2 linked regions of the Nothobranchius furzeri genome follow. The main gene of each other region encodes a partner of the protein of the gene in region 2 in a complex. Links are inferred from orthologs where the notes say so. Each region holds a gene or a part of one and is shown on either strand. Other genes may lie near its edges.

Region 1 (3,281 bases), on a different chromosome or scaffold from region 2:
TTTTTCTTCGCCTATAAATACGTTTATGGTTCCTGACTCCGCCTCCCCTTTTCTCTCTTTCTTCCTTGCAACTGTTTCAGGGGCAATCAAGACCAATGGAAACGAAGGGAGCTAATGACTCGTCTGCGTTTTTTTTTCATTCTCTCCAGTTTTCTGACCCTCCTGTGGGCTCGGTCACAGTTCACGTCCCGACTACGTGATCATAAACCAGAACAGGTGTGCATATTTAAAATAGATGATCACCTTTAGAAAGAAGAGGGACAGTGTTTTCTTTTTATTGATCCCTGATTTATGAAGGGCTTCATCTCCAGTGGAGGTCTGTTCAGCAGGCGGATTCGTATTTCTGCACAACACCTGGTCTGAAGCAGCTCCATCACCTGGCGCCTATGCGGAACAACGCAACCTTCCTTTTGTTTTGTGTCCAAAAACAACTCCTGGGAAGCTCTTTGCAGAAACTTTGGGAAGAAATGACTCCAACCTGGAACAGATTTGTTTTCAGAGCAGCAGTTTACTTAACCAGGCCCGACTTTGCAGGACGTCTCTGTGGGCAAACAATAAAAAGGAAAGAATGGCAAAAACAGTTGAAAAGTGATTTGTTTATTTAGCAACATTTAAGTGAATAATTCCAAATAACCCAACTTTATTTATGCTACAGCTGGTTTTCCTCCAAATCGTGTTACAAAAGGTCATCCGAGGACAGACAAAAACTTGGGACAAAGTGTTTAAGCTTAACTAGTTAATGTGTGCGGGACCAGTCTCATTGGTCTAATTCCAATCATTTATGGAGAAACTAAAAATTCTGGGTCTGTAATACAGTTATTTTACAAATTTACTATTTAAAAGTGTAGTGAGAACAAAAAAGACAAGTGCGAGTTTGAGGACTTTAAACCAGAAGCGATGAAAGCTACTGTACAAACTTTACATCAAAAAGGTTTAAAACATCAAGACCAGGTCCGACGGCGTCTCCAGAGTGTCCGGGAAGCGGATGCTGAGGGCGCTGTGGGCTACTTGCCATGGTGGTAAAACCTCTGCCCGCTCTGGCTGTGGGACAGGAAGCTGTGACGAGGAGTGCCCTGCGGAGAGCTCTGGAAGGGGGCCTGGTCATAAACACAAAACAAAACCGCCTAAAAAAAGGGCGATGTTTCATTTATAAACATGTCAGCAACAGAAAACTGACGCGTGACCTCCATAAACCTTTACCACGTACGTTTTCCAACACAGCCTTGTTTTGGTAACATCAGGACATCCCTGCTGTTACTTATGCTCTTGCGGAAACAGATTTCCATCTAAATGACTAAGTGGGAGGATTAAACATTACATGAAATATTGGTTTTAAGACTTTCGCTGTTAGCTTAACGGTCCTGTCCGGTGTGACCTTCATTTCTCTGAACTGAGGCTGTTCAGGGAGATATTTACAACAAGAATGAGAGGTGGTGAATCACTATCAAAACCTGAGCCACATGTTTACAACAGAAACAAAGTCCTGTGTAAACACTACTAATGGGCTGTCCGCATCACCGTTAACCCAGCACTAGCCAGCTGAGAGGTGACACAGCGGGGCAGATTGTTGCTGATTTTTACATCACTGATTATAAGAAGCATAAAACAGGTGGTGGAAAGCGTGTGTTTATATTTGTATGGTTCACCTTAGCAGTAGGGATCTGGACCATAGGTGCAGGCAGCAGACCTTGGGCTGAGGGATGCATGGCTGAGGGGTGCATGGGCCTCAAACCGCCCTGAAACATCAACAAGACACAGAACCAAAACACTAAACAGCAAACTCAAGTGCAGGTTGGAGAAGCTGCTGTAGTGCGGCGTTCTTGTTTGAAGGGGATGTACTGTGACTTCTGTCTTAAGGTGTAATAGTCTATGGTCTGCACTAAATCCCTCCCACATAAAGATCTTTCAGCTGTTTTATTCTTGATGGTTTCAGTTCCTTCCTAAATGAGCCGTTTCAGGGCTCTGTCACTTTAAGAAAACAAGCTAGTGGGCCACGACCACCCACCCCCTGATGAGCTACGGTTAGGTGGGAGGCTCCGACATCCATGGGAGGCTTGTAATAGAGCCACTGATCCCCCCGCAGCACCTCTCTCTTGCACCTGAGAAGTGGCTCTATTCTGGTTTTCCTGTTGTGACATCACAAATGTGAACTTTTGGAAACAGCTCATTTTAGGCACATAATTCCTAAAACCAAACACTGAAAGAAAACGGATGGAGGTTTTATTTTTCACATTTGGGGTGTTTTTAGGGCAACAGCAGTAGCTCAGGAGGTAGAGCGGGGTTGTCGAGTAATTGTAGGTTTGCAGGATCGATGCCCCCCCCCCCCCCGCAGAGAATTTAGCTGCTGTTTCCTTGAGCAAGACACGTCACCTAAAGCCAGGCGGACACTGTGCGACTTTTTCACTCGTAGCACTCAGCTTCAGCTCTAACTGTACGACTTCCTCGCAGGGCAGATCTCACGAGTCATGCGCTCACACTGCACGACCCAGTTCTCGGATACGACCTGACTGCTCACACTGTACGTCTGGTAGCAACAGGTCGGCCCAAAAATATGCTAAAAATAGCAGTTTTTACACAACACGTCAGACTTTTTTGTCTTGTTTTGCCTGTTGTCCTTCAGGAGTGCTGCAGGAGGACGCACAGGGATTTATGGGGGTTGGATGAGGAAAACGAAATAAAGAAAGTAAATCTGTGTTTTGTGATCAGTTTAATTTGACATGAACACGACAAACACGCTTTCTTGACAATCTTTGTGTGTAAAAAACGTGTAGAAATTAAAACGGACAACGTGTGTTATTAGGGAAATAGCGAGCGAACGGTGTTGATGCAGGATTGCGCATGCGCCGTGAGCGGTTCTGATACATTTTGGGTTGCAGCTGCTCGCAGCGCCGCTTCAACAGTGCGATACCCTCACGAGGGACGAGCAAAATATTAAACACGCCAGAAGTCCGTGCGAGCTCACGACTGCTGATCGGTAGCTGGTCACGTGGTGTTAATCGCCTCTCGTAACCCCCTGTACACTACACGACGCTCGGCGCAAAACTCGCCCCGATCTCGTGGATTCTCGCACGACTGGAAAATCGGCTCAAAAAATTGAAAAAGTCGCACAGTGTACGCCCGGCTTAACTTGTCTTTGTTGGTGGTGGTCAGAGGGGTCGATCACGCAAAAAGGCAGCCTGGTCTCTGTCAGACTGCCCCAGGGCAGCTGTGGCTACATAGTAGTTTACCATCACCAGCATTGAGTAAATAATGGAAAGTGCTTCATAAATCAATATTATTAT
Region 2 (3,754 bases):
TTATCTATTTTTGTGTTGTTTATTGGACTAATTTAGGATCTTTGCGACCATTTCATGGCGTTTTCATTGTGCATCGGCCTCCAAATAGTTTGCATGGTGAGCCCACTCAGTAATCTGCCCATGATTACACACTGTACCAAATCAAAATGCTGTCATTGTTTGCAAAATAAGTATTGCGCAGATTCTACAGTGTGTACGGTAACCAAAGGAATGTGTCACACTGATGTCAACTTGTTATTTACTTTCCAAATCTGAATGACTGAGCAAGGCGAAAGGAGAATTAATCAACCACTGTGTGACCAGGCAGGCGAAAAATAGCGTTGTGGGGGAAGGGAAGTGGCTTAAAGCAGGCCAGCATGCTGGAGTGTACTCAGCAGTGTGCTTAAACTACAAAACAACACACGAAAGCAATACAATAATATGTAGCAACTTGATACCATAAGCAATAGGAAATGTAGTTTACTGGTTAAATATAAACCCTAATTATAGAACTGAGTGATAAAAAATGCTATAGTTGCGTGTTTGCTTTACAAAACGAATGATTAAAGAAACACGTTATTATATCATGGCGTGTGGTGGCCCAGTTTAGCTAATTAAGTCAGTAATTAAAGAAAATTCCGTGTAGAGTATCCAGGTTTAAGGTCAAGCAGCCTTCACCCCACCTCCCCCCCTCTCGTGCGAGTCTCGCGCTGCTGAGTGTCTCTCTCCGCTCCCGGTTCTCAGTGAACGGTGAAACTCCACGGAACAGCCTGCGCCCCACAGCCACAGAAACTCGGGCTGGTTCCAACTTTTTTTTTTATTCCTCCTCTCGTGTCCGCCAGTTGTGACGGTGTCTGGGGCGAACACGCTCTGGTGGCACAGCAAAAATAAGCCGACAGTGAGTCATACTGCGCGGTCGGAACTTGAAATATGACGATAAGCAAGATGGGAGGAAAGTGTTTTCTCGCTTACTGAAGTTGGAGGTTCTCCTTGTGGAAGAGGAAGAGGTGGCGGCGGACACCACGAGTTCACTCTCACAGTAAGAAACGGTAAGCCCGGAGGCTCGAGGCGCGGCGATGCACTGTACCCGGACTGTTCCGTTCTCCCAGTTTGGGCTTTATTCGAAGCAGATAACGACTTTCAGAAATAGATGGATTATGGCGTAACCGGCTCGCGCTGACTCCACACGTGTGTTCCAATTCCTAATTGCGTCTTTTAATTTTCTCCTACATTGTTGCAAAGCCCAACTTTTTCTGCCACTTTTTTTAAATGCTCAAATTATGCAATGAGTCTTTGGAGTGCTTGACGAAATACACTTTTGATATGTTGTCCCTCTTTTCCAAGTAGTAGTTTCATCTATTTTGTCCACATTTGTAATAATGTCATCAACCAGCACATGCAGTTGCATATGTTGTTGTTTTAGGCTTCTATTTGAATGAAAGCATTTAAAATGGTCATGTTGAGTTAGGAAGCGCATGTGTGTGTGGGGGAAGGGAACGACTTGTGTTACTGTATAACTACAATGTTGAGCTGTACCTGTCAAGCTGCTGTAACAGTTTGGCCCAGACACGAGTTTATAACAAACCTGGCGTGATATAAAAGCGTATACATTAATAAAGTAATGGAGGAATGGACTTACACCTTTAAAATCAGGTCCAACATGGCCTTAAATTCTCAGTTTGCTAATTGAGGCATTAGCACAGTGTGTTGTTTGTTTTAACCGCACTATCCCAGTAATCCAAAATATAACTGCTTATTTAGTCATACACAAGGATGTGTTGTTGATTTCAAAAGTGGGGGGAAACAAATGGCTTGACTGGGGGGGGGGGGGGGGGGAGATCCAAACTGCCTTATGGCAGTGGAGGGGGGGTCCTCCCCAATAATGATCAATGTCTAATGTATTTTTTTTCACTTGACTATGTTCAGCCTTTTCTCAATAGTTGTGTGCAATATATGTGCAATATTGTATTGCACCTTTTCATTTTACATTTTTATGCAGTCAAAACCTGACCCAAGTGACCAATCAGCTGTCCATCTTTAGTAAGGAGACCCGTTGGTTTCCCATACATACGATTTAACAAACCACTAGTAATTAAAACTAGGGATGTCCCGATACAACTTTTTTACCTCCGATACAATACCGATATTGCAGCCTTCAGTATTGACCAATGCCGATATCAATCCGATCCGATATCAGCACCAATCATACTTATCTTTTACCTATTTCATGGTGTGGAATATATGAAAGGCTTAATCATGTGATATTACTCAATCGGAGAACAAGAGTATGAAAACTGTTGGTTGCAAAAATGTGAACCTTAACGGACTGCTTATATCGGAGATTTTTGGTGCAGTCCGATATAAACCGATAGTGTTTTTGGGCTGATAACGAATTACTTCCATTGCTAATTAAAATTCTACTTATATGCACCTGAAAGTAGTAGTGGAATTAACTATTTGTAGCACTTCCTGTTTGATGCATGATATTCATATTTATGCCAGAATGATCATGTGATGCAACATTGATGGTGATGTAAAGGTTTAGAAAAGTTTGTATCAACCACTTAAAAAAACTTATTAGAGGTGAATTCAACTCATTCTCAGGTTGGTTAGAATTATCTTGCGCAGGTAAGATATTGACTGTTCATAACATTTGTACATCACCTCAGTTTGAAAGATGTAAACTATCCCTTTAAAATGTTACACCATCCTCTTTGTTCTTACAATCGGGAGTAGCCAGGGGCATTTGTGAGGCATTTTGCCTAACTTATCTTTATTACCTTTGGCTAGTAACCTTTATTGTTTCTGTAAACACTCAAGCAATCAGCATCATGCTGCTTATTTACATATTACAGCAGTTCCTTCTTTTGTACCAGTGTTGTGTGGAGAATTTCATGTTTCCATTGGTTAGTTTTCAAAAGTGGGGTCTAACTAATTGCGTTGGTCATGCTCCATTTTGGACATCTTTTAGTTTTCTTGAATTGTGTTAACTGTACGCTGAGCACTACCATTCCTAAAGGACAACCAAATTGTATCGCCATGATTCATTCCTGTTGGTGACCTTTTTGTTTAGGAAGGCTTGAAATTGCACAGTGTACACCCATCTTATGTTAGTTTCTTTATGCTCAGTGGGTCTGAATTATGTTCCTAGCCTGCTTGAATGAGAGCAGATGAAATTTGTGGTTGAGATGACCCAGATGTCTGTCTGGGTGTCGTGTTTCAATCGCTGTCAGATGGAGCTGGAGCTGATAAATGTCTTCACTACTGCAGTCATTTGACACAGCTCTTGTGCATATAGTACCTTTTTCTACTGAAGACAAAAGGCCAATTTAGTTGGGGGGTTGTTGTTTTCTGTGGTGTACAGTTTAATATAAAAACATTGTCCAGCCTTACACAGTTTTAAAAAAAAGCCATTAAAATCTATTGATTGCAAGGAAGCAGAACTGAGCTGTATGGGAGTTTGTGTTAAAAGCAGAAAGCCAACTTCTGCGGAAAAGTAGGGCAAAGAAGTCCCCAAGAAAGCCTTTGTCAGTCTTGTGGTGCAACAATGCTCTGTTCTGAGCCATCCAAATATTTCTGTAGCAGTATTTATTTATGATAGGCCGTTGGGGGGAGGTGAGCCTTTCTCCACCCCCCTCAAAGAGGTGTGCAGTGTTCATGGGCAACCAGCCAACTGGCACATGAGTGGTTACTCTGAAATTACGCCCATACAAGTAGTGGCTGGTTGAAGGCCACAGTTATGCATTGCTTATATTTTTGATTTGGTTTGGAAGTG

The links.
Region 1: tbl1x (region 2) and gps2 share a complex: the UniProt entries of both Homo sapiens proteins name them as parts of the N-Cor repressor complex. The link is inferred for Nothobranchius furzeri from reciprocal best matches to the Homo sapiens genes TBL1X and GPS2.

The regions. Positions count from the first base shown.
Region 1 is NC_091742.1:53,242,040-53,245,320, reverse strand, and holds the end of gps2 (G protein pathway suppressor 2), read right to left. Parts: intron 1,737-3,281; coding exon 1,647-1,736; intron 1,098-1,646; coding exon 1,005-1,097; 3' UTR 582-1,004; downstream 1-581. UniProt on the Homo sapiens protein: Key regulator of inflammation, lipid metabolism and mitochondrion homeostasis that acts by inhibiting the activity of the ubiquitin-conjugating enzyme UBE2N/Ubc13, thereby inhibiting 'Lys-63'-linked ubiquitination.
Region 2 is NC_091754.1:23,373,003-23,376,756, reverse strand, and holds the start of tbl1x (F-box-like/WD repeat-containing protein TBL1X), read left to right. Parts: upstream 1-887; 5' UTR 888-1,028; intron 1,029-3,754. UniProt on the Homo sapiens protein: F-box-like protein involved in the recruitment of the ubiquitin/19S proteasome complex to nuclear receptor-regulated transcription units. Plays an essential role in transcription activation mediated by nuclear receptors.